3 linked regions of the Elephas maximus indicus genome follow. The protein of the gene in region 1 purifies or fractionates together with the protein of each later gene. This does not show direct contact. Links are inferred from orthologs where the notes say so. Each region holds a gene or a part of one and is shown on either strand. Other genes may lie near its edges.

The links.
Region 2: the proteins of FAM117B (region 1) and DYRK1B purify together in Homo sapiens (affinity purification with mass spectrometry; 3 studies listed by BioGRID and IntAct, counting the BioPlex papers as one, with this or other methods). This does not show direct contact. The link is inferred for Elephas maximus indicus from reciprocal best matches to the Homo sapiens genes FAM117B and DYRK1B.
Region 3: the proteins of FAM117B (region 1) and DYRK1A purify together in Homo sapiens (affinity purification with mass spectrometry; 8 studies listed by BioGRID and IntAct, counting the BioPlex papers as one, with this or other methods). This does not show direct contact. The link is inferred for Elephas maximus indicus from reciprocal best matches to the Homo sapiens genes FAM117B and DYRK1A.

What each region holds. Positions count from the first base shown.
Region 1 is NC_064824.1:101,401,285-101,411,106, forward strand, and holds the start of FAM117B (protein FAM117B), read left to right. Parts: upstream 1-5,926; 5' UTR 5,927-5,950; coding exon 5,951-6,743; intron 6,744-9,822.
Region 2 is NC_064829.1:111,687,315-111,697,494, forward strand, and holds the start of DYRK1B (dual specificity tyrosine-phosphorylation-regulated kinase 1B), read left to right. Parts: upstream 1-5,519; 5' UTR 5,520-6,371; coding exon 6,372-6,450; intron 6,451-7,739; coding exon 7,740-7,903; intron 7,904-8,928; coding exon 8,929-9,048; intron 9,049-9,142; coding exon 9,143-9,331; intron 9,332-9,670; coding exon 9,671-9,818; intron 9,819-10,180. Other genes in the region: FBL (rRNA 2'-O-methyltransferase fibrillarin), read left to right, coding at 31-204, 311-415, 504-598, 1,642-1,812, 2,480-2,612, 3,662-3,774, 4,882-5,027, 5,117-5,141.
Region 3 is NC_064820.1:219,102,891-219,112,647, forward strand, and holds the start of DYRK1A (dual specificity tyrosine-phosphorylation-regulated kinase 1A), read left to right. Parts: upstream 1-5,025; 5' UTR 5,026-5,116; intron 5,117-9,433; exon of another isoform or gene 9,434-9,757. UniProt on the Homo sapiens protein: Dual-specificity kinase which possesses both serine/threonine and tyrosine kinase activities. Exhibits a substrate preference for proline at position P+1 and arginine at position P-3.

The sequences.
Region 1 (9,822 bases):
CCCCAAATAGGTCTCTAGTTTAGTGTCATCAAAACCAATTGGTTACGGAGGCCAGGACACAAGGCCAGCTGGACTCCCTTCAGTAATTATGTATTTAGCTCTTACTTTGTGCAGGACAAAGTGCCAGGGACAGCATCCATGACACCCTTATTTAAAGTCCTATCTTCTCCATTATCCTCTGTTTTAAAACCAGACTTAGCTCTCTGTATGGTTTTTATTTATTTTTATTGTGCTTTAGGTGAAAGTTTACAGAGCAAATTAGTTTCTCATTCAAGAATTTATACATAAATTGTTCTGTGATATTGGCTACAATCCCTGCAATGTGTCAGCACTCTCCCCATTTCCACACTGAACTCCCTGTTTCCATTCCTCCAGTTTTTCTGCCTTCTTATCTTTGCTTTTGGGCAAATGTTGCCCTTTTGGTCTCGGACAGCTGATTGCTGTAAGGAGCACTTTCCTCATGGGTGTTACTGTTTATTTTACAGACCTGTTATTTGGCTGAAAGGTGATCTCGGGGAGTGGCTTCCAATCCAAGTTAGAAGGGTGATAAAGGACCATAGTCTTGGGTGTTTTTCCAGTCTCTAATTTTTTTTTTTTTTTTTATCAGACCAAGAAGTCTGGTCTTTTTTTTATGAATTTGGATTTTGTTCTATATATTTCCTCCTGCTCTGTCCAGGACTCTCTACTGTGGTCCTGGTCAGAGAGGTCAGTAGTAGTAGCTGGGCACCTTCTAGTTCTTCTGATCTTAGGCTAATGGAGGCTGTGGTTCGTGGGAGCCATAGTCCTTTGGACTAATTGCTTCCTTGAGTCTTTGGCTTTCTTCATTCTCCTTTGCTCCAGATGGGAAAAGAATAATAGTTGTGTCTTAGATGGCTACCAGCAAGCTTTTAAGACCCCGGAGGCTACTCACCAAAGTAGAATGTACAGCGTTGTCTTTATGATCTGTTATGTCGATTGACCCTCGAGACTATGGTCCCCAGCTCTCAAGCCCCGTAACTCAGTCCCTAGAAGTGTCTGGTTATGTCTAAGAAGTTTCTCTGACTGTGCTCCCTGTGTGCGCCATTGTGTATATGACTATACATGCAGTACATACGAATATGTATGTTGAAATATCCACAACTTAAGTCCATGTATGCATGTGAGTGTACTCGCATATGCCCTCTCATACCTATTCAGCATACATATCTGCCCACGTATCCACTCATAAATTATTATTACTATTGTTACACAGTTGTGTATGTTGTAGTATTTAGCATAGTGGCCTTATATTCTTTTGTACCTCTCAGTGTCTATCTTTGCCTTGGTCATGTTGTGTTGACTTCCTCCATACTGTATATTGCTTTCCTCTTCATCAAAGTTAACATGTGTCTACTATCTAGCTGGTGGTGTTCTCTCTCTCCCCCTTCCATCCCTGGTAACCATCAAAGAATGTTACTTCCTGTATGTAGATTTTTTGAACTTTTTATGATAGTGGTCTCATACAATTTGTCCTTTTGTGATTGACCTGTTTCACTCAGCATAATGTCCTCCAGATTCATCCATGTTGTGAGATGTTTTGCAGATTTATCATTATTCTTTATCGTTGCTTAGTATTCCATTGTGTTTACGTACCACAGGTTTTTTTTTTTTTTTTTACACATTCATCCTTTGATGGGCATTTAGGTTGTTTCCACGTTTTTGGTATTGTGAATAATGCTGCAATGAACATGGGTGTGCTGCATATATCTATTCTTGTCATGGCTCTTATACCTCTAGGATATATACCTAGAAGTGTGTCTTGGTCACCTAGTGCTGTTATAACAGAAATACCACAAGTGGATGGTTTTAACAAAGAGAAATTTATTCTCTCACAGTCTAGGAGGATAGAAGTCCAAATTCAGGGCGCCAGTTCTAGGGGAAGGCTTTCTCTCTTTGTCAGTTCTGGAGGAAGGTCCTGGTCATCAATTTTCCCTTGGTCTAGGAGCTTCTCCACACAGGAAACTTGGTCCAAAGAATGCACTCTGCTCCTGGTGCTGCTTTCTTGGTGGTATGAGGAGCCCATTCTCTGAGTCCATCTGAGTGGCGACTCCACCCTTTAAGACCCCAGAGGTCATGGCCCTACCCTTTGAGACTGAGGCAGCTCAGCTTCCTGTGTTCTTTGTCTCTTCAGCTTGTTTCCTGGTTTCTTGGCCTCTCAGCCCTTCGGGCCTCTCTGGTCATGTCTGCCCTGCTGGGGCAAGTGTTCCAAAGCTCTGTGGCTCCACTGATAAGTGCCTAGAGGCATCCCACTCTGCCAGTAAACTTCAGCTGTAAGGCACTCAGCTCTCTTGCTCCAGGGATTGGCAAGGCTAGTTCCACCAATACATGTCTGGAGGCACCCATTCTGCCAGGAAGCTTCCTGCCAAAGGTACTCAGCTCTCTTGCTCTGTGGGTTGGCTCCAGTGCCATCTCCTGCTAGTCTCCTGGTTATACCACTGCTATGTCTCTGCTGCTGCTGGTCCTCTGCTGCTGCCAGTCCTCTGCTGCTGCTTCTTGCCATCCATGCCATCTCCAGAGTAACAGCTTTCTTTACTTCCTTCTGAGTCCTCACCAGAATTGTCTTTGATGTCCATAATTCCACCAACAGTCTCTTCAGGCAATCTTAAAATTCTTCCAGCCTCTACCCATTCAGACTTTCAAAACTGCTTCCACATTGTAGGTATCTGCTAGAGCAGAACCCCATTCCTGGTACCAAATTTTGTCTTAGCTAGCTAGTGCTGCTACAACAGAAATACCACGAGTGGATAGCGTCAACAAAGAAATTTATTCTCTCACAGTCTAGTAGGTTACAAGTCTAAATTCAGGGCATCAGCTCCAGGGGAAAGCTTTCTCTTCTCTGTTGGCTCTGGAGGAAGGTCCTCGTCATCAATCTACTCCTCGTCTAGGAGCTTTTTAGTGCAGGGACCCCAGGTCCAAAGGATGCATGCTCCTGGCTCTGCTTTCTTGGTGGTATGAGGTCCCCTTGTCTCTCTGCTTGCTTCTTTCATATCCAAAAAGTTTGGCTTAAAACACAATCTAATCTCGTAGATTGAGCCCTGCAACATTAACATAACTGCCACTAATCCCATTTTATCTACGTCACAGAGATGGGATTTACAACACATAGGAAAATCACATCAGATGACAAAATGGCGAACGATCGTACAATACTGGGAATCATGGCCTAGCCATACCGATACACATATTTTTGGGGGGATACAATTCAATCCATGATGTTGTGGGACTGCTAGATCATATGGTACTTTTATTTCTAGCTTTTTAAGGAAGCGACATACTATTTTCCACAGTAGTTGTACCATTTTACATTCTGCATGGATCTTGTTGGCAGTTTCCTGTCTACTGAGAAGCTGTTTTTGTCTTCATTCCAGGTTGGAGGGACTGGTAGTGATGTTAAGACTATCCAGAGCATCAGCCACTTAAGGCAGGTTCCTGGGGTGAGTGTTTTGGGGTCTCTCTGCAGTGAAGGAGAGGGGAGGAGAAAGGGTAATGTGTGGTAAGCAGCAATATGGACCTCTGAATCACATGGAGACTGGAAGTGTTGAGCACCTTCTTCACACCACATTCTCATTTAAACCCTGGTTAATAATCACAACAACTGTATGAAGGAGATGGTATTGTTTAACTGCATTTTATAGATAAAAAAGCTGGCTAGTGTAGCAGGGGCAGGGGTCTGGGGATCATGGTTTCAGGGGACATCTAAGTCAATTGGCATAATAAAATCTATTAACAAAACATTCTGCATCCCACTTTGAAGAGTGGCATCTGGGGTCTTAAACGTTAGCAAGCAGCCATATAAGATGCATCAATTGGTCTCAATCCACCTGGATCAAAGGAGAATGAAGAACACTAAGGACACAAGGTGATTATGAGCTCAAGAGACAGAAAGGGCCCCACGATCCAGCGACTACATCATCCTGAGACCAGAAGAACTAGATGGTGTCCGGCTACAACCGATGACTGCCCTGACAGGGAACACAACAGAGAACCCCTGAGGGAGCAGGAGAGCAGTGGGATGCAGACCCCAAATTTTCATAAGACCAGACTTAATGGTCTGAGACTGGAAGGACCCCGGTGGTCATGGCCCCTAGACCTTCTGTTGGCCCAGGACAGGAACCATTCCCAAAGCCAACTCTTCAGACATGGATTGGACTGGACAATGGGTTTAGAGGGATGCTGGTGAAGAGTGAGCTTCTTGGATCAGGTGGACACTTGAGACTACGTTGGCATCTCCTGCCTGGAGGGGAGATGAGAGGGTGGAGGGGGTTAGAAGCTGGCGAAAAGGACACAAAAAGAGAGTGGAGGGAGAGAGCAGGCTGTCTCATTAGGGGGAGAGTAATTGGGAGTGTGTAGCAAGGTGTATATGGGTTTTTGTGTGAGAGACTGACTTGATTTGTAAACTTTCACTTAAAGCACAATAAAAATTATTAAAAAAAAAAAAAAAGAAAGCTGGCTAGTGACCTACCAAAGGTCACAGAGCAAGTGCTGGATCTGTGATCTGAATCTCCTCTCTAGGGCTTCAAAGCCTTTCCACCACTGTGCATAAGGATCCACCAAGATTTCAGGTCCAGGATGAGTCATAGTGTGCCCTCCACTCCCACATTTTTACAAGGTGAAATCTGAGTAGAATGTAGATCTAATAAAAAGGGAAAAGAGGGCATAGACAGGGAATGTGGAACCAGAGAGGTGTGTGAAGAGTGCAGTTCCACTATTTTTTTGTCTTAATGAGATATCCCTTAGGTCATTTTAGAACTTGTATCACTGCCTGCCTTCCTGAGTCCTCATCCTTACCACAAAGACCCATTTCCTCCACTAGACAAAAATGTGGTTGGCTGGCCCAGTTCTATCTCAAATAATGATTTCGAGAATCAAATAAGGCCCTTTGCATACTAGCACTTTACAAACTTGTAAGGGAGCAGATATCTTTCCAAGGTATCAGGGAACTGTGAAGCAGCTGATTAAAATAAATTCTTGAATATTTGAGATACAGGAAGGTAGAAATAATATCTGGTATCTGGACTCCATTGATACAATCTAAAGCCACATTCCAATCAGCAATATTAATCTTTCTAAGATTTGCCTCTTTATAAAAAGAGAGAGAGAAAAAAGGGTGTGTGTGTATGTGTAAAATACTAGTAAAGAACGTACTGCCACGGAATAGATCCAGATTCATAGTGACCCTATCTACAGGACAGAGTAGAAATGCCCCATAGGGTTTCCAAGGCTGTAAATATTTATGGAAGTAGACTACCACATTTTTCTCCAGCTGAATGGCTGGCTGGTGGGTTTGAGCCACCGACCTTTCCGTTAGCAGCCAGCGCTTTAACCACTGTGCCACCAGAGCTCCTTCAGATACTAGTAAGATTAAATTTCATCTCCTTTTGAGCCCTGTCCACACATTGATGGAATTAGGGCAGAACAAAAAGATCAAGACAAAAAGCCAGAAAGAGACATGTATACATGGCCCCTGCCAATTAATACCGTGGTAATTTTTTTTTTTAAGGAAACGTTATGGGGGAAAGACTTCACATTATCTCTGGGGACCGCTCTGGTTCTGAAGATTCCCTGTGACAACATCCCAGGATCTGACTCCCCAGGGCTCCCCCCAGTGGAAAGGGAAAGACAAAGGCGTGCGTGGCCGGGCGCGCGCGTACGCGTACACTCACGTGTACACACAGATACACACAGACACCCGCGCGCACTACACATACACACGGCCCATTTCCTCCGCCTCCCTCTTCCCTCCAGAGGGGGGGTCTCTTTCTCTTTAAAGAGCAGACGGTCTCCTCACAAACCCAGGCTCTCTAAGGCCCCGGGGGCCCGGGACCCGAGTCGGTCGCAGCCAATGGGCGCGGTGGAGAGGCTCGAGCGCGGCTGACGCTGCGCCAATGGGCGGCCGCGGGGGGCGGGGGCAGCGGAGGAGACACTATTGTTGATGAGGAGGAGCGGCGACGGCGGCTGCTGCACCACCTCGTTGCTGCCGGCCGCGGCCCGAGCGCTCCCCCAGCACCCCGGAATCCGTTGTCGTCACCCCGTCGTGTGGGCCTTTCCTCCGGCCTCGAGAATCCTCCCCCTGCAACACAACAACAACAAAACCCCCGTCTCGTCCAGTCACCAGGGAGGGGGAGCCATGTCCCAGCGGGTGAGGCGCAATGGGTCCCCCACGCCGGCCGGCTCCCTCGGGGGCAGTGCGGTCGCCACGGTCGGGGGAGCCGGGAGTCGTCTGCAGCCCATGAGGGCGACGGTTCCGTTCCAGCTGAAGCAGCAGCAGCAGCAACATGGCAGCCCCACGCGGAACAACGGCGGCGGCGGCGGCGGCGGCGGCAACAACGGCGGCTGCTGTGGTGGCGCCTCCGGCCCCTCTGGCGGCGGCGGGGGCCCGCGTACCGCCTCGCGCAGTACAAGCCCCACGCGGGGCGGCGGGAGCACGGCCGCGCGCACCAGCCCCACGGTGGCCACGCAAACGGGCGCGTCCGCGACGTCCACGCGGGGCACCAGCCCCACGCGCGGCACCGCGTCCGGGGCTCGCGGGAGCCCCCCACGGCCGCCGCCGCCGCCGCCTCTGCTGGGCACCGTATCGTCGCCCTGTTCGTCGCCCACCCACCTGTGGACGGGCGAGGTGAGCCTGGCCCCACCCCCAGCCCGCGTCCGGCACCGGAGGAGATCCCCGGAGCAGAGCCGAAGCTCCCCGGAGAGGAGAAGCCCGAGCGCCCCGGTTTGCAAAGCAGGTCCGTGCCGGCGAGGGGGCGGCTCGCGGCGGGAAAGGGTCCCGGGCGCTCGCGGATCCCGCGCCGGGACTGCGGCGCTGCCGCGGAGCCCGGGCAGCCGGGGGCGGGGCCGGGTGGGGTGTGTGGCCGGGGGCGGGGCCGGGCCCGGGTTTGTGGCCCCGCCGCAGCCCCGGCCGCCCCGCGCCTGTCTCATTCATGGCTTAGCCGGGCCCGCTTCGGTCCTCGGGCGTGGAAGTGCCTGCCCTAACCTTGTGCTTGGGCTGATACGTGTTAATTATAAACCCGGGCTCCTGGCCGCCCTGGCTGTCCACTGACTATCGCTTAGCCTACTTTTCTTTTTCTCTTCCGCAAGTTGGGGTGAAACTAGGAGTGGTTTGTCACTTTGTTTTAGTGACATGGTTCATGTTAGCATACTACGTGTTTGCTGCTACGTGTTGGTATTTGTCTTCCACAGAACAGTTTCAGATCTGGGGGACGAAGGACATTATCTTAGGAGGGCAGATCTGGATCAGTGAGGAGACTTGAGGGTGGCAGCGTTTTAGCATTTCCTAAGACTTGGTAAAATGGGAAGCAAGAAGTGAGAAGGAAGTTAAAAGCAAGATTCCTTTGGATGGTTTATGGGTTTTGTTTCAGCGTCTGGGAGTATTTCAGACATACTGGTTTTGCGTTTAGGATTTAAAACCATTTATCTGAATATCTACTTAAAAAAACAAAAACAAATTCCAGAGTCTGTCTCCCTCTTTTACTATTTTAGGGATCTAAAAACTGTTTTGTTTGTTTTCTTTCTGTACCGGGAACTTTAGTGAGAAAAGTCCAGAATAGAGATGTGGATTCCGATGGAGTCATTCATAAGGAAGGATAACTGAGCGGAGAAATTCAAACTATGAGAAGTGAAAAGGGATAAAATTTTATCACCTGGCTGCCTTGCTTTGAGAATCTAGTGATTAAAGAAATGGGTGGTTTTTAGTTGTGTATTAATACTGCCAATGTACACTACCGTTGTCTTTCTGGAGAATTTGCATTAGAACCTTCACACAGAAGATTCAGAAGAATTTCAGAAAATTCAGTAAAGTACTTTTCTAACCAAAACAGACAGGGTGGCTGCAAGGAAATGGAGAGAGTAGTATGTCTTTCTTACAGTTTATTTTATGAAAGATTTTAGACAATGAATACTTTTTTGAAGAGAATTGCTCCTGAAAAGTGATCAGTAGTTTTTTCTCATAAGAATACTATTTTAAGTCTTTTGAGAATGCGAAATGCTTTTTTTCCACTTTGATTGTTAAAAGTACTAGAGCACACCCCCCCAACACACACACCATGATAGCTGTTACCTACTGAGCTCTTACTATATGCTAAATGATTTATATACAAGATTTCATTTTGACCCTAACAACAGTCTTTAGAGAGGTTGAGGTTTGAACTCTGCTTGTTGAAATTCCAAAGTCTGTATCTTTTACGTTATGTCAAGGAAGTAGTTTCATGATGTTTAAGACAGAACCTGAAAATATATAGGAAAAAAAGTATAAAAATATATATAAAAATATAGAGCACACGAAAATCACATGTGTTTAGTTTTTTGAAGGAACTGTTTAGAGATATCTGGTGAAAACATTATTGCTTTAGTTTGCCTTTGACCTTCTGGAGCTAACGTAGCATGGCAGGTGGAGAGAAGAACTTCTGAAGTGGGCAGTCGAGGCGGAGGAAGGAGATGGAGACCTCAGCCTGATAACAGAATCTGGCTACTGTCTCAGCTATTTGACATTCTAAACAGAGCAGCAGCTTGAGGAGAGCCAGGTTGAATTAAGTCTTGGAAATGATGGTGGATGGAGGATGGCATTCCTTCCCTCTGATCTCCAGGAGGGCTGTATTTCCTGTGATCCCAGGCTTCTCATGTGCCCACTCCTCATGTTTCTCAAAGCTCCCCACCTCCAGATTTGTCATTCCATGGAGTGTTCGTGTTGTAAAATTAATCCTGCTCAAAAAAGCAAATACAGAAAAATAAAAATACTCCTTTAGTGCAGGACTGTCAACTACGGGTGAAAAGGGATACTGCCTGTTATTAGTGTAAATGTCCGATAGTTTCCCTCCCAGGAATGTATTCTTGTTTCATCCTAGTGAAATTCTAGGCCGTGTGGGATGAGGTGTTTTCAAATTCCAAGTCTTCATAGAATCTATTAGACCATTTGCTGCGTTTTGTTAGACCAAATCTGGAAGGAGAAAAAAGGGAAAAACCAGACTCCCTTTTTGATTAAAGGAAGGTTACTGCCTGTTTGTGGGGGTGGGGGGTGGGGTGGGGCAGTAGTGGTTCAGTGTTAGAACTCCTGCTTTCCATGTGGGGGACCTGGGTTAGATTCCTGGCTAGTGCACTTTAAGTACAGCCACCATCCATCTGTGAGTGGAGGCTTGTGTGTTGCTATGATGCTCGTCAGGTTTCAGCCAAGCTTGTAGACTTGTAGACTTAAGATGGACTAGGAAGAAAGACCTGGAGATTTATTTCCAAAAAATCAGCCAGCGAAAACCCTGTGTATCACAACAGATTGATCCCATTGTGCATAGGGTTGTGATGAGTCAGGGTAGACTCAGTAGCAGCTGACAACAGCACCGGAAGTTTGTAGTTTCAATAAAATGTAGTAATCCTTACTGTAGAGGAGAAGGATCTACTGCATGTAGTTCTGCAAACCTCAAGCTGTAAAATGGTTGATAATAATATCTATATTATGATAAAGATTAGAGAATGAGAGAAAATTGAAAAATACACAGAACCAAAACCAAACTCACTGCTGTCATGTTAATTTTGACTCATAGCAGACCTATAGGACAGAGTAGAACTGCCCCATAGGGTTTCCAAGGCTATAAATCTTTATGGAAGCAGAGTGCCACATCTTTCTCCCACAGAGCGGCTGGTCAGTTTGAATTGCAGACCTTTTGGTTTGCAGCTGAGTGCTTTAACCATTGCACCACCAGCTCTGCCAATACTCAGAACAATACCACGATATATAAGTTAGCTATTGTGTGTCATACTAGTTTTCTTTCTAGTTTTAGTGGATGTAATATAAATTGCCTGTGTAGGCTCAGTTTC
Region 2 (10,180 bases), on another chromosome or scaffold:
CAGTGACACTTGCTTCTTTTTCCACCACAGGCTTCAGTCCCCGAGGGGGCGGCTTCCGAGGCCGAGGGGGGTTTGGTGACCGAGGCGGCTTTGGCGGTGACCGTGGCGGTCGCGGGGGCCGAGGCGGCTTTGGTGGGGGCCGTGGACGAGGAGGAGGCTTCAGGGGCCGTGGTCGAGGAGGAGGAGGAGGAGGAGGAAGAGGTGGTGAGTAAGATTGGTTGGTGTGATGGAGGAGGCTTTCCCTGTACTTGGGGAGCGGGGAGTGAAGAGACCGGGGGCCTCTCTCTCTTACTGCGTCTCTCCTTTATAGGCGGAGGAGGGTTCCAGTCTGGTGGCAACCGGGGTCGTGGTAGGGGAGGAAAAAGAGGAAACCAGTCAGGGAAGAATGTGATGGTGGAACCTCACCGGCATGAGGGTGAGTGAGGAACGGAGGGAAGCAGCTGAGGGGTGGGGCGGAGTGGTGGGGTCCCAGTCCTCACCCTTGTTCTGATCCCCACACCCAGGTGTCTTCATTTGCCGAGGAAAGGAAGATGCACTGGTCACCAAGAACCTGGTCCCTGGAGAATCAGTTTATGGAGAGAAGAGAGTCTCAATTTCGGTGAGACGCGGGCCCCTGTCCAAGGCACCAGGGCCCCAGCTGTTGGTGCAGCCAGCTGTCTGGTCTCCCTGCTTCTGCACCACACCCCATAGCCGTGTGTCTTGCACTTGACAGCCAGGCAATACTCCTAATACGTGAGTCAGGCCTCACACGCCTCTCCTCACATGCCTTCTGTGACTCACGATTGCCACCATGTCATAGTCCCAAGTCCTTACTGTGGCCCTGTGTGTTCTAGCTCCCCTCCACAGCCCTTGGTCTCTCATCTCCTCCCCCTGTCCCTGACCAAGTGCCCTCCAGCTGCACTGATATGCTATTCCCTCCCGCCGGCAGCTCTGCTCGAGGCTGGCACCGGCTCATCATTCGCGACTGTGGTCAAGTCACCTGTCTTTCTGACGGATCCTAGTGTCCCTTGCCATTTCCTTTATGGCCAGGCGCTCTCCTGCCTCAGTGCTTCCCGCCTGCCTCCCCTCTCCCTGGAATGCTTTTCCCCAGATAGCCTGACCGGCTCCTCATCGCCTTTAGGGCTGACCCAGACACCTTCTGCACAATGCACCTTTGGCTCCCCTTTCTCGTTTTCCCCTTCCCTTGCCCTACTTCCTATACTTCATGTCTTCTTCCCGGCTTTGTCCTCTCTCCTTTTCACCTGTCACCATCTTACTGTGCCAGGTGTTTTTTTTTTTAATTTAGTTAGCTCCTTGTATACTTACTCTTTGAGAGCAGGGATCTTTGTCGTGTTCACTGTTGTATTCCCAGTGCCTAGATCAGGGGCTGGCACGCAGCACAGTAAGCGCTTGCTGAGTGGTTTTGCAGGCCTTACCAACCTGAGACAATCTCGGTATCTCTGTGTTTATCGTCTCTTGCCACCCCATCTCCCTGAGTTGTTAACTCCACAGTTGCATCTGTCATGGCCACTGCTGCATACCCACATTCATCACTTGCATAGTCATTAAACGCCCAGTCGCTTTCAAGGCCCCAGGGTAAGGGGCGTGGGGCCTCAGGGAAGAGCCCAGCACTGATTTCCATCCCCGTCTCTCCTGGTCCAGGAAGGAGACGACAAAATTGAGTACCGCGCCTGGAACCCCTTCCGCTCAAAGCTGGCAGCAGCGATCCTGGGTGGTGTGGACCAGATCCACATCAAGCCGGGGGCCAAGGTGCTTTACCTTGGAGCTGCCTCAGGCACCACTGTCTCCCACGTCTCTGACATCGTAGGCCAGGTAAGTGGTGAGGCGGGCAGAGGGAAAGGCTGCCTCCTGTTGGCACTATTGTGGAGTCAGGCATGGGCGCTTCCCCGCACTGTGCATGGAGCCAGGCCCTGCCCTCTGACAGCGCCTGTGGGTAGAAATGGCTGCTTGGATTAGATGGCCACCAAAGCCTCATTCAGCCACACTCCTGGGTTCTTAGCCTTGAAGGAAGGGGTGTGGGAGTCAGGGCAACCAGAATAAAAGGGGCCCAGAGCTGGAAGTGTAGATAATCAGATGAATTGATTGGTCTCTTTAAAAATTCATGCTCCCCCCAATCTGCTTCTCCAGTTTCTCTTGATAGAACAAGAATTCTGACGCTATTGGGCTGCATTGCAGTGTGTGGGTACAGGCTCCATCTAGAGGCCCCTGTACATCTCACTTCATGGCCTCTGCTCAGTCACATGGTTGCAGGCAGTGTAATGTCGAGCTTGGCCACTTGCTGAATAGCCCTTGAGCATTGACTTCATGCCTCTGGACCTCAGTTTACTTGTCTATAAAATGGGCACGATAACAGTAGTCATTTAATGGTAGGGTTTGATTTTGGGGGATTTGAAGAGATGCTGCATGCAGCGCGTGGGTCCCAAGTAGGAGTTCCGTAGATGAGAATTAGTATCGTTTGTTATCACTTGATTTGTCCTAGGATGGTCTGGTCTATGCAGTTGAGTTTTCCCACCGTTCTGGACGTGACCTCATCAACCTGGCCAAGAAGAGGACCAACATAATCCCTGTCATTGAGGACGCTCGGCACCCGCACAAATACCGCATGCTTATTGGTGAGGGCTCTGGCAGTGGCCCAGGTCGGGTAGGACAGGCTCTTCAAGAGCCAAGTTTTCTGGGAGAGATCATCTGAGCCCTGATTCAGATGGAGTGGACGGACAGGCCTCTTGAGTCCGCAGGAATGACAAGGGGTGAGGGAACTGGGTGAGATTGCAGAGGTGGCGGCCCAGCTTCAGGGTCTGGCCTCTCCTCTCTCTGAGCTGCCCCTCCTTGTGCTTCGCACCTCCTTCCAAAACATGGTACCTTTATACCGCCCCTCTTTGTGTATAAACATGGTGCTTTTATACTGCCCCTCACCTGTGACTAAAAGCGCCCTCCAGGGGCCTCCTTGTCTGGTGAGGTCATAACCATAAAACACCAGCTGGGCATGGACCTGACCCGGAGGGGCCTGGTGTGAATATTGACTTCGTTTAAAAAATTCAAAAGAGGTCATTGATGAGAACAATTGGGTACGTGCTTTTCCTGATTCTTCAGAGTCAGTTTTCATTACACCACCTTTTCAGTTTTTTAAGTGTTGTTTTTTCTGTTGCTGTTGTTTGTTTTAAATCACACTGGTTTAAAAACATTACTTTTTCATTCCCTTGTTCTTCTTTCTTTTCCTTTTCCACACACCCATACCATGCCCCTGTCCTGCAACTTTTCATTGACAATGCTGCAGACGCCCTTGCCTGTCAGTGTTCACCTTCACTTGCCTTTTTGATGACTTGTGTGTCCACCTCCCCTACTGCCCCAGACCCAGGAGCGTTTCAAGGGCAGTGCCAGGGTCTAACTCGTCTCTGTGCCCCCCACGCCCAGCCTGGGGCTGGTCACAGAGTAGGTGGCAACCATGGTTTACAAGAGTAGAGAATAAGTGATGTGACCGTGGGTTTTGGACCCACCTTGGGGGCACTAGGGCGGGGGGAGGGGGAGTCAGTGGCAGGGGAGTGAGACTGGAGGCAGGGAAATTGCCAGGTACCTGCTGGCAATGGGGCATAGGCCCCAGGGGGGGATGGGAAGATCTCCCTGTGGGCCCAACATTTAATAACTGCCATTCCTCTCTCCCTAGCAATGGTGGATGTGATCTTTGCTGACGTGGCCCAGCCTGACCAGACCCGGATTGTGGCTCTGAATGCCCACACCTTCCTGCGTAACGGAGGACACTTTGTGATTTCTATTAAGGTGAGAGTCTTGTGGAAGTCTAAGATGAGTGGGAGCATCCCAAGGAGTCTTCCGTGTCTGACAAGCAGCCAGTCAAAACAAAGAGGCCTGCCTCCCCTCTAATCCAGTCAGTCCATTCCCAAACTCTGTTCCTATGCTGGCTTCCCACTCCCCATGAAATAACACGTAGTATAAAAAAAAGTCCGTAAAACTAAAAGCTTTGTATTTTAAGAGGTAATAGAGTATAGTGGTCAAGGGCATGGTTGCTGAGTTTGAATCCCACCATGCTGTGTGACTTGGAGCAAGTCATTCACCTCTGTGTGCCTCTGTTTGTTCATGTGTAGAACAGAGATGTTAGTCTTATCTGTTTTAGGGCTGACGTCAGGATTAAATGTATCAGTATCTGTGAAGTGTACAGACAGAGCCTGGCGTTGAATAAACACTAGGCAAATCTAAATGTTAGGTGCATTTTTTAAAACTTTTTATTCTGAAATACAGAGAACTCTGCTGTGGACCCTTTACTTAGACTCACCATTTGTTACCCTTTTCCTGTATTTGTGTTGTTCTCAAAGCTGTATTATTACTCTTTTTTTAATGGAAGAAGGAAAAAAGCTGGGGTATAAAACTTAAAGCTGGCTTTTAGGTAAACAGGGTTTTGTTTAAAGCCTTGGGTCCAAATTCAAACAAACTACATAGCAACCCTGTAGGACAGAGTAGAACTGCCCCATAAAGTTTCCAAGGAGTGCCTGGTGGATTTGAACCACCAACCTTTTGGTTAGCAGCTGTAGCTCTTAACCACTGTGCTGCCGGGGTTTCCTAAATTTGTTATATAACGGAAATTTTCCCCACGTTTCCAAAACCCTGCCATACACCACAAAATTCAGACCGGTTGCCATTGACTCCGACTCGTGGTGACTCCACGTGTTTCAGAGTAGAACGCACTCCATGGGGTTTTCAGTGGCGGTGATCTTTTTGCTGCAGAACAGTCAGAAATGATACTGGGGTTTTGTTTGGGGCCTGATTTTACCCCGTTTCCATCGGAAACAAGTCCCTGTGGTTGAAAGAGCACAAAAAAGGGGAAACCAGCCCGCAGTCCTGCGGCGGACTCGATTCCGTCTCCTCCTGTAGGCCAACTGCATTGACTCCACAGCCTCTGCAGAGGCCGTGTTTGCTTCTGAAGTGAAGAAGATGCAGCAGGAGAACATGAAGCCCCAGGAGCAGCTGACCCTCGAGCCATACGAAAGAGACCACGCTGTGGTCGTGGGTGTGTACAGGTGAGCAGGGCCCAGTCACCCACCGGATCGTGCAGCTCAGGGCTCCGGGGGCAGGCTATGACCCCTCGTTTTCTCTCTCCCTCTCACAGGCCGCCCCCCAAAGTGAAGAACTGAAGCCCGGTGCTGTCTGCATTGTGAGATAGTGTTGTTGCTGTTGCACGTGTGTTTTTCTATTAAAAAGACTCATCCGTCACCTCAGTTGGCTGCTGGTCGCTCTGTGGCTGCCGCTGTAGACAACTTGGCGCATGCGCCCATGGTCACCTCGTTGGGGGCGGGGGCATGCTCATCTGATCACACAGCGCATGCTCCATTTCTAGCTGCCCTCTCAGGGAGCCCTGGTGCGCAGCCGTAACCCGGAATTCGGCGTTAGGTGGGGTCGGTGGCTCACTGCGCATGTCTGCGGGTAGTGCCCACTGGGCGCAGGCGCGGAGGGCTGCGCTGGTCACGTGAGGGGGAGCGGATGGGGGGGTGGGGGCGGAGTCTGGAGGGGGGCCGGTTTGTTGTGGTCGCCATTTTGCTGGTTGCATTACTGGGTAATCGGGGCCCTGGCTCGCCGCGTCCGACGGGTACCTTCAGCCAGTGGGCAGGTCTGAGCTCGGGCTTCCCGAGCAACTTGAGTCCCCTTGCCCGCGCCCTCAGGTAACGACGCAGTGACTGGCTGGGCGGCACGAGCTGGCGGGGAGGGGGAAGGGCGGGACCCGCCCTGCCCGCGTCGCCTCGAGACTGAGCACAGGGACGCGGGAGGAGGAGAGGAAGGGAGGGGGAATCGGGCTGGTGTGCCAGCCGAGCCTGGCTATTCATAGTCGGATTCCTGGAAGGGGCTGAACCGAGGGAGCAGTCTTGGAAGGGAGGTCGGGAAGGGGTGGCTGGGCCCCGCTCCCGCCCTTTGTTTGGGCTCAGCTCCGCCGGCCGCATCGTCGTCGCCTAGCAACAACTGCCCTGGGCTGTGATTGGTTGAGCTCGTAGCAGCGGTGGCCAATGGTACGGTTGTTGCCATGGCAGGGTGCGGACTGCCAAACTCAGTCTTGCCCCGCCCGCTGGGTCTCTGCAGGCGGGGCGGGCCTCTAGGGTGGGGGGCGGGACGCCAGGGTCCCCAGGGGCGGGTGGCCGCCCGGGGTGGGGTCGGCCTTGCGAGGGTTAACCCGCCCTTCCCCCCATCCACCTGCTTTCCCTTCCCCCGCGTGCCCCGAGCTGACCCTCGTCCCCTCCTCTCCCCGCCCCTGGCGGCGGCTGCTGTTGTCACCCACCGGGCCGCCTGTCCCGCTTGCCCTCCCCGCCGCGGGGCCTGCCGGGCCGCCCAGGCCAGGGACAGGCGGCCGCCTCCTCACTGCCGCCACCGCCGCCATGCTGGCCGTCCGCCCGCCTCACTGGGGGCCCCACCGCGCTCCAGCCCCCCGTGGGCCGCGCACCAGCCCTGACGCGGGTAGGGGTTGGAGGGCCCCGGGAAAGAAGTTGTTTTGGAGGGGGAACCTTTAGGGAGGGAAGCTTCAAGAGACGGGGTGTGTTCATGGAGTGGCAAGGCCTGGGATAGGAGGACACCTGACATGGTTAGACTTGGGGAGAGGGACTTTGGTTTGTCGGACCCCCTGGAACACCCTGCAGTATTTGGGGAATTGAGCTTTGGGAGTCTCCTAAGAAGGGGCATCGCTGTGGGATGACCCCAGTATAGAAAGAGGTGACAGGAGATGGGGCTCCAATGGGAACATTGGGTAGAGGGAGGATTCATTATAGAGGAGAGAAGGAAGATCATCGTAAGCCACTGGAAGAGACACCTCCTCCTTGTTCCCCTCAGGAGAGCGGGCCTTGATTGGGAGGGGGACTTTGCAGCAATGTGGGGAAGAGTTCTGATGTGGTGGGAGGAACTGGGATACGGTGTAGGGAGACTATCTGGAGGAGTGTTTCCTGATGTGGGAAGGCCTACAAGGGGAACAGATCTCAGCATGAAGTACTGAGGGTCTGCTGGGAAAGATGTGCCCTGGCGGGCTGCCACAGAGATAGGACTTTTGTGATACAGTTTCTCAGATAATCTTGGTGTGGTTGGGAGGTCTCCATAGGACCCTGATGTGGATTTGAGGGACCTGCAGAGGACACTACTGTGATTTAGGGGAACTCAGAGGACTCTGGTGTGGTTTGGGTGGACTTCAGAGTTCTCTGGATTGGGGGAGCTACTGGGAACGGTAGATCTTGTAGTGAAGGGACCTTGCTGTGATAATGGGATGAGATCCTGATGGTTGGGGAAGATTATAAGGGGGCAAGATTTTGCGGAGGGGGCCCTGGGGAGGGCCCAAGTAGAAATGGAACGAACAAACCCTACTCCCCATACTGTCTTTAGTTTCTTTTTTTTTTTTCTCTTTTCCTCCCCTCCATTATCCATGTCTTTTTGTTCTCCTTCCCTGTTGTGGCCTATACACCCCCACCACCACTCCCTGCTCTTGCATCGCTCCTCCCCGTTCCTTTTGCATGCCCTTGTCTTTGTTCCACGTCATTCACTTACTTGGTCATTTGTTGAGGGCTTCTGTTGTGTAACCCCTTTCCACCTGTCTGCTACTGCTTTCTGTCTCTTCTCTTCATCGCCACCTGTGTTCTGTGGTACCCTTTTCCTCCTCCGTTTGAGTCCCTGCCTTCTGTCTGTGCCCACCTCTTTCCTGCCTGCCACTATCCCACATATTCTCTTGTTCCATGTTGTTCCCCTGCCTCCTTGCCTTCTCCCAGGTCTCAGCGGCGGTGGCAGCCGAGGTGCAGGATGCGAGAAGGCGCCCCCCGGCCGGGCTCCCGCTCCAGGCCTCGCTCCCCTGCGGCCCTCTGAGCCCACCATGGCCGTCCCACCGGGCCATGGTCCCTTCTCTGGCTTCCCGGGGCCCCAGGAGCACCCGCAGGTACGCGTTTGGCTGGCTCCTTACCTGCCTGGGGTCGGGGATACTGGGGAGAGAAAGGTCTCAGGGCAAAAGAAACAGTATGATTGCCTGACAGTCTCCTTAGGGTGTCAGGGCCCCATTGGGAGTGAAAGTTAATAGAAGAGGCATCGGCAGAGTTAAGGTATGAAGAATTCAGTCCATGTCTTGACTTTGTAGTTAAATTACTTATGTCCCGTACACTTCAGTTTTGTCATCTGTAAAATGGGGCCGATAATGATGATATCTGTCTCACAGGGTTGTTGTGAGGATTAAACAAGTTAATGAAATGCGTGTGCGATGGTAAGAACAGTGTCTGGCACGTAGTAAATACCAAATATTCACTAAGGAAAAAAGTCCTGAGTGAAAGATCTGGAGGGAGTGGGTGGGGAGGAGGGCTGAGACTGAAGGGCTTGGGGACCATCAGGATAAAGACCTCCAAGGGTAGAGGTGGCTGAGGCTCTGGAATGTAGAGCTTGAGCAGGATGGAGTGGGAAGTCTAGGCTGCAGGACCCAGATTCAAGATCCTTGTGAAAGAACTAGGTACAGATGCTCAGTGGGGGGTAGGTGTTGGGGGAGCCCCAGTGGGTGAAGGTAAAGCAAAATGGGGGGAGGGGGACCCAGACTGGGATATCTAGATGGAGAGTCTCAGACTGAAGGATTGGGGGACAGAGGCCTAATTTCCCATATGATCTTTCCCATTGACTCTGAAAGCAATAAAGTTACGGGGTAAAAGGTCAGGGGTAAATAACCATTCGTTCACTCCACAAATCCCTATTGAGCATCCACTGTGTGCCAGGCCCTGCTCAAAGCACTGGGGTATAGCAAGAACAAGACAAAGTCTCTCCCCTTGTCAAGTTTATATTGTAGTGGGCGAGACGGACTATGACCAAATAAATTCCTGACTAGGGGGTTCTGATGAGCCAGTTGCCCATATGGTTCTCCCCCTTGGGGTCAGAGGTAAAGGATTTTGTCTGTTCTCAGTGCCCACCTGACACCCCACCCTGTAGGTATTGCCTGATGTGCGGCTACTGCCTCGGAGGCTGCCCCTGGCCTTCCGAGACGCGACCTCAGCCCCACTGCGCAAACTCTCTGTGGACCTCATCAAGACCTACAAGCACATCAATGAGGTGGGCAGAGGTGGGGAGCCCCAAGCAGGGGACCGGGGGGCCCTGGCCACTGATTCCGGTTGCTCACTGGTCATCTGGTCGCCTGGCTGGGCAGGTATACTATGCGAAGAAGAAGCGGCGGGCCCAGCAGGCGCCGCCTCAAGACTCAAGTACCAAGAAGGAGAAGAAGGTCCTGAACCACGGTTATGACGATGACAACCATGACTACATCGTGCGTAGTGGCGAGCGGTGGCTGGAGCGCTATGAGATTGACTCACTCATTGGCAAGGGCTCGTTTGGCCAGGTGCGGGACACCATACCCCCCCCGGGGATTGGGGTGCGTGGGGACCCACTGACAGTGGCCCACACACCCAGTGGCTTCAAGAGCACTGGGGCCATTCACCCAGGCCCAGTCACTTAGTTTCCCTGTGCCTCATTTTCCTTTTCTGTAAAATGGCACAAATAACAGGACTTAACCACATAAAGTAATTTCATACCTTCTGTCTATATCGCTGCCTAACTGATAGTAAGCACTCAAGTGTAAATGCGTAGTGGTAGTGTTGGTGGGTCCTCTTGGTTGGAGGGAGAAGAGTTGCCTGGCTGTGCCCTGTCGCCTGAGCCCTCCCCGTCTTGTGACACGCAGGTGGTGAAGGCCTATGACCATCAGACCCAGGAGCTGGTGGCGATCAAGATCATCAAGAACAAAAAGGCCTTCCTGAACCAGGCGCAGATCGAGCTGCGGCTGCTGGAGCTGATGAACCAGCACGACACGGAGATGAAGTACTACATCGGTGAGGCCTGGGGGCGTGGGGGCTGGTTAGGGATGGGCCAGCTCCCTGTACCGCACGCGGCTGGTGTCTTCAGGGCAGGGCTCGGTCTGTGCTGCTGCTCTCAGTCATCTGTCGCTATCATTTGTTTCCCTGCGTCAAGTCACGTGATAACGATGGCCAGAGTTCACTGCGTGCTCACTAGGGGCCAGGCTCTGGTGTAAGCATTTTGCATAAATTAAAGGGGAGGGGCAATTATTGCCCACATTTTGGAGGTAAAAAAACGACTGAGGCATACAGGTACTGTCACTTGCATGATGGCAGTTTGTACTCAGCAGATAGAAAATTGGACCAGGCAGTCAGCTCCAGAACCTTTACTCTTAACG
Region 3 (9,757 bases), on another chromosome or scaffold:
GAGCTTCTCAGTGTAGTGACCTCATGTCCAAAGGATGTGCTCCACTCTTGGCTCTTCTTGATTGGTAATAATGAGGTTCATCTCCTCTCTGCTTCTCTCTTTTATATCTCAAAAGAGATTGACTCAAGATACAACCTAATCCTGTAGATTGTGTCCTGCCTCATTAACACAACATCCTCTAATCCTGCCTCATTAACATGATAGAAGTTAGGATTTTTGACACATAGGACAATTGGATAAGGTCACAAAATGAAGGACAACCACACAATACTGGGAATCATGGTGTAGCCAAGTTTACACACATTTTTTGGGGGGTACATAATTCAATCCGTAACACTCTGGGAGACTATATATATGTATATATGCATATACATACATATATATATATATACATACACACATTTATTAGAAAAGGTACTAATCAAGGACCCATTAGAACCCCATTGAAAGGGACCATACCTAGACTTCCTCACCAACTCGTGTGCCCCCAAAACTAGGAGTCAAACCCTGAATCCATCTATCACAACTGAAAAAAGTCCATGCTGCCTCTGTAGACCAGCTAGCCCTCTAAAGCTAAAAATCACCTTGAGACACTCTGGAGGCCAGAAGTAGAGGACATCCAAGGTAGGCAGCTAATCCTAAGATCACAGAACAAGATTCCATGCATCTTGCTCAACTTTGTGGCCTTTGTTTTATAATTGTAGCTATCCTTATGCTGCTAGCATTACTCCATACTTGTGGCCTTATTCCTTAGTAATTTTATTCAACATGAAAGTCCACTTAAGTTTTATATTTCTCTTTGTAGTAATTTCTTCTCCTTTTTTGATATCTTTAGTTGGTTACCCAATGGCATTGGTTCTTCGTTATGCTCATCATTAGAAACTTGACTAATTCTTCTGATCATTATGTTAATTATAAGACTGGTTAAATGCATCATGAATTATATATCTAACTTTTGCAGTCACACCGCCAGACCCAAAGTTATGCAAAGTATATATATATTGAGGAGGTTCAAGTTTCTGGAACTTTGAGCTTGTGCCTTCGCAGTTTGTCAGCTTGCGTAATGCTGAGATATTCCTCTAAAAAATTTGGCCTTTCTACTCCAAGCTCCCCTTACCATCAGTTCAGGAGGAGAGTGACTAAGCAATGGCATAGTGCAGATACTAGATGGTGCCTGGCTACTCAGTAAAAGCATAGCAGCATCTGGGGCCTTAAAATCTTGAAAGCAGCCATCTATATTACAGCACAATTTAAAGACCATGCACAAGAAAGGGCTGTCATAATGGTCTTTGTGATTTAAGAAATTCTATAAATTCTTGATCAAAAGGGGGGAATGATAAGTAGCTTCTAAAATCAAACAGAGGCTCTCAGCTAGGCCAAAATGGCTGAGGACTCAGATCTCAATAAAAGGTTTGTCCAGATTACTAAAGAGGGGGATGATAAGTAGCTTCTAAAATCAAACAGAGGCTCTCAGCCAGGCCAAAATGGCTGAGGACTTGGATCTCAACAAAGGGTTTATCCAGATTACTCTGAGTAAACAGGGGAGGGAGACAGAAAGGAAAGTAATAAATGTGCTTAGAATGTTACAGGAAACATGTGACACAAATTCAATGTCCTTGGAAAGAATGCTTTTCGAAAATTGTCTCTTAGGCTGAGATTAGATTAACTGATATGAAGAGCTGTTTTTGAAATGTTTATGGGATTATAGGGACAACGACTTGATGACAATGGGTTTGGTTTTTGGTTTTAACTTTGTGTATAAAAGCTCAATTTTGTCCCCAGAAAGATGGAGCGCCTTGTTCTCTGAACGAAGTGCTGCCCAATTTGCAAATTGTATCTTGCCTCAATAAACTCCTTGCTTTTACTTCACAAACTCTCAGATTTTACTCTTTGACATAGCAATTAATTTTGGCTCATTTAATATAGTGGTTAAGTACTCAGATCCTAACTGAAAGGTTGGTGGTTTGAACTCACCAGCTGCTCTACAGGAGAAAGATGTGGCAGTCTGTTTCTGTAAAGATTTACAGTTTTGGAAACACTGTGGGGGCAGTTCTGTTGTGTCCCATAGAATCTCTGTGAATCGGAATTCACTTGTTGCCAATTTTTTTTTTTTTAGTGTTAAGGGTTACAAATGCCTAAGTGATTAGACAGAAGCATAACCATGTAAAGGGGACGGAGCAGGGACAAGAAAAGGAGGAGGAAGTTGGCTGTATAAGTGGAAATTTGATCTTGGGTAAAACCAAGGTAGTGATTGCTCATCTGTATAAGGACACTCTTGGCCACTACCTCTTCCTTCAAAACAACTAAGTACAATGTGGATGTTAATTACAGTACCAGGGTAACTTTGAAAAAACTCAGCAATCCAGAAGAACTTTTGTAGTTTTTTGATACCCTGAAGAATCAAACTGAAGTAAGCTATTTTTGCCTGAATATACACACTATTTAATGTGGTGAAAATATACACAATAAAACATTCACCAATTCAAGTTTCTACCTGTACAACTCAACGACATTGATTACACTCTTTAGGTTGCACTCCTCTGTGCCCATTTTCTTCCTAATTATCCCACCACCCTTAACATACACATGCCTGAATACTTTTTGCCTAATTTCTTTTACGTTTAATTTGATTTCTTTCAGGGCCTGTACTAACTTCAATGATTACCTTAGCGCATCAATTGGTTTGTTTGTTTTTTTTTTTGGTTTTGTCAATGTTCTACTAACTGTAGAAACAGAACATTTGTTGCAAATCTTTTTAAGCAAACATCTTTCCTTGAGTCACATACATAAGATAGCTATCAGTATTTATTACAATACTTTTTTTTACACCTAATACTGTTTATATGTTGCTACCGTACTTGTGAACAGCTGAAGGCTCCTATAAGAAAAAACGAATATGATCACCATCATAAGATGGCAAAACCGAACTTAGAAATAAATCAGTATATTAGCGACTTTTGGTACAAAATAATATATAAACTCTTCTCAGCTGAACATTAAAGGCCCTTATATTACGGTTGGTACAAAATACAATTTTTAGCCAGTGGCTGTCTCCTAATTACAAAGTAGCCAGCATGACATAGCTTGGGTTTTAATGCCTGGGGAGCACACCTAGAAATATTTAGTCAGGCAAAACAAAACCTGAATGCAAGCCAAAATAGTAATAACTGTTCTGATTGTCAAGGTAAGTGGGCAAATTAAGTATCTGGAAATTGAGAAGGTACATTAAAAAAAAAAAAAAAAAGGAGTCGAACGACAAGGACATAGTAATAGCACAAAAGGATTAATCTGAGGGGCATTTCCATGGAGAAGCCAGGCTGTACCCACAGAAGCGGGGAGGGGTAAAAAAGAAGGCTCGAAATAGATGGGGAAGCATGGGCGGAGCGTGCACTGCCTAGAAAAGTTTTTATGACAGCTACGTCCATAATTCTTGAACGTTGGTATTGGTTCCTTAAAAATCTGAGCGGCATGATTTAATCAAGGTGTCAGCCGCAGGGACATCCCTGATTCCGGGGAAGCGTCGGAATTCCTGAGATGTCTGAAGTGCGGAGGCGGCCTCCACCCCGCCCCCACCGCGGCCTCCGTGGGCATTTTCCGGCGAGGGGGGGACGCGAGCCCTTCAAAGAACACTTTAAACCCATGGACGTGTGCGCCGGGCTGCTCCCACGCGGCCGCCGCGCGCCCCGGGAATAAAGGCGAACACCTCGTCCGGACCGCGGTGAGAGCCCCGTGGACGGGCGCCCGCGGGGGGGCTTTCTGGGTCCCCTCCCCCATCGGCGCCCCTCCCCCCGGCGCGGGCGGGGCCGCGGGCGCACGACGCGGAAGCGCGGGGCTCCGGGGGCGGTGGCGCGGAGCGGGAGGGCGCGCGCTCTCAGGGCCGCAGTCGGCGCGGGCGCGGCGGGCGCGGGGGTCGGGAGGCGGCGGGCGCTCGCGCACAGGCTGGCCGCCGCCTCGCCCCCCTTTCCTCCCTCAGCCCGTCCGTCCCCCCTCTTCTTCCTCCCTCCCCCGAGCGAATCACGCGCCCTCCTCTGACACTCGTAGCGGGCCCGAGCTCCGAATTTATCCTTCACGTGACCTGAGGGGGCTGGGTGGTTGGTTGGGGCCGGAGAGGGAGAGGGAAAGGAGGGAACGGAATCTGCCGTTACCCGAGCAACAAGCCCCGCCCGCCGGCTCGGGGACGGGGGGCGGGAGGAGGACGTCAGCACGTCAGCCGGGGTTTTGCGTTTTGATTGACAGTTGCTATAGCGACCGGATCGGTCCGCCGCCATTTTGTTGGTTGGTTTTTTTTTAAACCCTTTCGCTTCCCGCCCGAATAATAATAAAAAGCCCCATTGGAGTGAGGCGGGGGTGGCGGCGGCAACAGCGGCGGGGGGATCCGGGGACACTGCTGCCGTTGCTGCTGCCGATCGTGGCCCAAGTCGGGCGCGGGGAGCGGACACCCCGAGCGGGGGGTGAGGGTGCCGCCGCCGCCGCCGCCGCCGCTTCTGCTGCTGCTGTTCCTGCTGCTGCTGTTGGTGCCGCTGCCGCCGCCGGCGAGCGGGCGGGACCGGTGTGAGTGTGAGAGTGTGTGAGTGAGCGTGTGTGAGGACGAGTGTTCGTGCGTGTGTGTGCGAGTGTGTGTGTGAGTGTCTGTCTGTGCGGGCACTCGGGGGCGGGCGGTTCGGGCGCTCCTGGCGGAGAAGCCGCCGCTGCCGCCGCCGCCGCTCGGGCCCCGGCGCTTCTCGCTGCGCAGGTTTGGAGCGCGCGCCATTTTGTGAGATTTACAAAATCCTCTTCGGGAAGAAGCAGCCGGGAGCGGCCGCGACTAGGTGCCCGGCCTCGCCGCCGCCGCCGCCCTCCTCGCCGGGCCGGGCCGTGCGGCCCCGCCGCCGGGAGTCGGGGTCCGGGGACTGCGGTATTTGCCGGGGAGGGGGCTGTCGCCTCCCCGGCCCCGGGCGCCGCTGGAACCGAGAGCCGGCGAGAGACTGAGCAGACTGCGGCGCGGGCGAGGAGCCGGGGGCGGAGAGAGGCGGCCGGGGTGGCGCTGGCTGCGGAGGCCGCGGCGGGAGCGCAGCGGCGGGAGCCCGAGGCTGAGACTCACCGGAGGGAGCGGCGCGAGCACCCCGCCATCGTCCCGGTGAGTGTCCGGCCCGGCCGCGGCCCCGCCCGGTCCGGCGCTCGGCTCCCCCCGCGGCCTGTAGCCGGGCTCGCGCCGAGGCCGGCCGGGCGGAGGGAGGGACCTGCCATTTTAGGAGGAGGCGCCGCGGGCCCAGGCCCGGCCGCCGGGGAGGGAGGCTGCAAGGCCGGGTTTTGGAGGAGAGGCGGGTGCGAGTGCAGGGAAAGTTGCGGAGGGCGGGAGGAGGGGGCCGCGGCCTCTCGGGAGCCGGGGCCTTAGGGGCCGGAGAAAGCGCCAGACCTTTACTGGTCGCCCGAGCCGAGGGGAGGAGGTTGTCTTCCTCCTCCTCCTCTTCCTCCTCATCCTCTTCCCCCAGCTCCTCCCTCGTCCCTCCTCTTGGTCCCCACCAGTGTGGGAACCGCCGGGGTTCTTAGCAAGGACAATGCCTGGGTTAAGAAAATGGGGCTGGTGCTGGGCGAGGCGAGGACGGCGGAGCCGAGGTTGGGCGCCGGGAACGTCGGGAGCCCGATCCCTCACAACCCGTTGGGGTCGGTGCTGGAGGGAGTGGGACTCGGCGTGTTCTGAAGTTGTGCAGTGACTGCAAGTAATCCGGCCACTCGAGATGCAGTAATGCCCTATTCAGCAGCTGGAGGAGTTGGTGACTGGGAAGACGTGAATTATAATTGATACCTGTGTTTTACGACATAACTTCACTTAGCTATTTATAGACTCTAACTCACATTTCTGCTGAATATTTATCTCCACACTTAGCAAAAGGCTCCTCCATATTCTGAAATAGTTAAAAAATAGAAAAATTAGCGAGTGAGTGCCTCTGACTTCTTGGCTGTGGTTTTCATCCACCCGGAGGTTATAGGAACCCTGTGATGTCCGTATAGCGCTTGAGTGCCAGCACGACTTGATTATTGAGTTTTGCCCGAGTTGTCAGGAAAGATACGTTATAACGTTATTCTTACACGGAGTTGAAGATGAGGACGAGTAGTGCCAGGTGCCTCTCTCTGGGCTTTACATGTTATTACCTCGCTGATCCGGCCAGGAGGAACTGCTGCCCATTTTACAGATGAGGAAACTGAGCCGACAGAAGGGCAGTGACACGTCCAAGGTCAAACAGCGGGAGCATGGAGTCTGTAGCGAGCCTGTGCTCTTAACCGCCGTGTTATTGTAAATCATTATGAATACTGGCAAATTTTGGAACCATTTGTGTGTAATGACTCAGGATTCTAACGTAGAGATTGTCTCTCTTTATAGTGTTTAGAATGGGATTGATTTTGTGGTTTGTGGAAGTGGAAGGGAAAGGTTGACATGAGGTCCTCTTGATGAAACTTGTCAGTTTTTTTTTCAAGAAAATTAGTTTTAGAATGGAAGGAATTAAAAAGTATTCTTAGGTGTGTGGTGTTCTTGATAATTATAGGCATCATTTAAGTATTGATGAGTCATAAAGTTTTGTGTGAAGTTATTTTTGGTGATATTTTATATTTAAATAAATATTTTGGATTTTTTCTGTGACATTTTACACATCTAAAGTGTCTAAAAATGAATATAATTAGTACTTTGATTTTGGGTACTTTAATAAGTAAAATTATTTTTAAGTTTTGTTTTCTTAAATTTCTCATTTGGTTATTCCATTACTTTAAAAGAATATTTTCAGATAGACTAAATGTGAGACTAGGATTAATGTTTCATGTACTAGGGTTTTAAATTGAAGATAGTTTTAAAGAAACAGCAGTTAAGAAAAACATTTGCTTGATTATAGTTAAGCTTTTTAATGTATCCCAGTACTTTTGAAGGATCTGCCTTGAAGTAACAGTAGTGTTTACGGTAGCTGTCCAAATTATTTAGACTTCAAACCTAGCTGGAGAGCTTAGGACTCTTGTCAGTGTCTACACTGTGTTCTGTTGTAAACCTGGGCATAAAAAAGTTCCTGTTTACCTCAGGGAGGCATGAGCTCAAAAATTATTCTAGAAGGGTCTTCCCTTGTGTCTGTAAGGCGAAGGCATACTCTTATTTCTGGTGGTGTTTAAAAAAGATTTTAGATTTGAAGGAATAGACTTGAATGGTAGGGGTGGGGGTGGGCTAAGTGATCTGGTGAGATCTCTGTTATTGTTAAATTGTTTAGGATTTTGAAATTTAGGAATAAGATGGTTTCTTAAGGTATTTTGAAGACATTTCGATGGGACCTGTTAGAAATTTAATAAAGTTATTGTACTGTGCATTTAAAAATTAACAAGTAATCCAGTCTTTTAGGTGCACTGTCGTTCAAAATAAGTGGAAATATTCCATTTTAGTGCAGTGTCTTGTTTGGAAGTGTGGATAGTAAAAAAGACCCTTGGTTAGAATTTTTTTAGTCTCGATAATACTGCCTGAAGCCTGTTCCTTGGTTTTATTGTGAGTTCATTGTATTTATGACTTATAGATATGGGGTAAACTGGGGAGTGGTAAGTAGAACAAATTGTATTTGAAGAATTTCCATGGATTTTTATAGTTCTATGAATATCTGGAAAAGTGAAATTGGAATAACTTGTTATGAACATGTCTAAAATGACTATTGGCACTCATTTTGTTTAGTAACCACACCAAGAAAGAAAAATGCTCATTTGCATTGAATCTTGGGTAGTAATTGAAAACCATTTTTTTTTTTTTTTTTTAAGAAATAGTTTAGAAATTGAGACTGCCTATAGGTGTTTTCACATGCATGCTTATGTTTGGCAAGTATCTAGTTGTGGGAAGAAAATTTGGATAGAAGTAAATTTACTGTGGGTGAGAAAGGAATTGCTTTTGTATAAAAACCAAAAAAAAAAAAAAAAAATCCCACTGCTGTCGATTCAGTTCCAACTCCTAGCGGTCCTATAGGACAGAGTAGAACTGCCCCATATGGTTTCCAAGAAGCGGCTGGGGCATTCGAACTGCTGACCTTTTTTTTGGTTAGCAGACATAGCTCTTAACCACTATGCCACCAGGGTTTCCATGCCTCTTTTATGACTTTAAAAATAAGACTGGTAGAAGATAACCCAGTGCCTGAGGGCTTGGTAATTTGTGACTCCCTTGGTATTTGTGATACGATGTGTATCACTTTTTCTTTGCTTTGCCCTTAGCTTTTCTCTTAAAAGAGCTTTCCCCATCTCCTGCATATACACTCAGCCCAATTCCCTCACCCCAAGAGAAGCCCTAACCATCCAAACCCAGCAGAACCCAAACTCTTCCAGAAACAGTCTTCATAAGGAACTTTGCTCCTCACTCCAGAAATTTTACCTGTCTTGTAATTTTGTTGTATGCCTTATCAGTAATTTAAACTGTGATCTAAGGTTCTTTCCTGTTGAGGAGTGCTTTAGTGGTTTTATCTCCATACACACTTGTAAATTTTGTATGTAGAAGTAATGGTATTACTTGAAACTATGAAACATGGTCACTTGAAACTTAATACTAACAGCTTGCCCTATCAAAATGAATGGCATGGTTTGTGTAATAGCACCTTATGTGTACATAGTAGTTATGCTCTTTATTTTTTTTCCCATGTGTTATCATGACTGTGGAAACCCTGGTGGCGTAGTGGTTAAGTGCTATGGCTGCTAACCCAAGGGTCAGCAGTTTGAATCCGCCAGGTGCTCCTTCGAAACTCTGTGGGGCAGTTCTGCTCTGTCCTCTAGGGTCACAATGAGTCAGAATCGACTCCACGGCACTGGGTGTGTTTTTTTTGGTTTATCATGGCTGTTGGGGGCAGTTTTGTGGTGGCTAGAGAAATTATAGTAATTCTTAACACAAGACTTGAATAATTTTGGATTAAAATTATTTTGGAGTGAAAATTGGCATTTAAATACTTGGAAAAACCATCAAAGTAATTTAAATTACCTGAAACTTCTCCTCAGGTGCCCCCAAATAAAGGATTCTTCTTTTGAAATCTTGTCTTATGTCAATGCTATAGTTTTAAGCTAGAGTTGTAAAGTTTAGCCTTGGGTATGTAAACGTGAAATATTGACTGCACATGACTAAGATAATTTAAGGTTCATACTGGTAATTGAAGAGAAGTTTTGTTTCCTAATCTAGTGTTTACGAGGGACCTTAGTTTTCTTTTTGGGTATATGAAAACAAAATGATTTAGAAATATTGGATTGTATAAATTAGCTAAATGTTTTTAAAAAAGTTTTTGCTTTTACTTTGAAAATCTGCTTTCAGAGTTCCATAACTAGTTAAAGTGGTTTATCAGAAAGATAACTTACAGTATGTTGAACATCTCAAATGCTGTGATTCCTTATAGTTGTACTCTTTGCTAATTTGGCTTCTTGGCAGTTGGTTTTTCTATCAGAGTTATGCATCCTTCTTCTAGAAGGTGATTTTCAAGTTTGTATTCTGTTAAAAGTAAGTGTTTTGATGAAGTAGATACTTTTTTTTGTTTGAAATAGTAGTTTTAAATGTGTTTTCAGTCTTAGTGATGAATTGTTTTGAGCTCCCATAATGAAAATGCCTGTTTAAATAGATTTTGGCGGGGGGGGGGGGAGGTTAGTAAACTGGCTTGATATGGAATGATAGTGGTTTTCAGCATCGTCTTTAAGTAACATCTGTGTTTATTAAATAGCCCCTTGATTTTTCTAAGTATATAGAATTTACAATGGCAAGGATTGTTTTTTAAATTTTATGGACGTTTGTGGT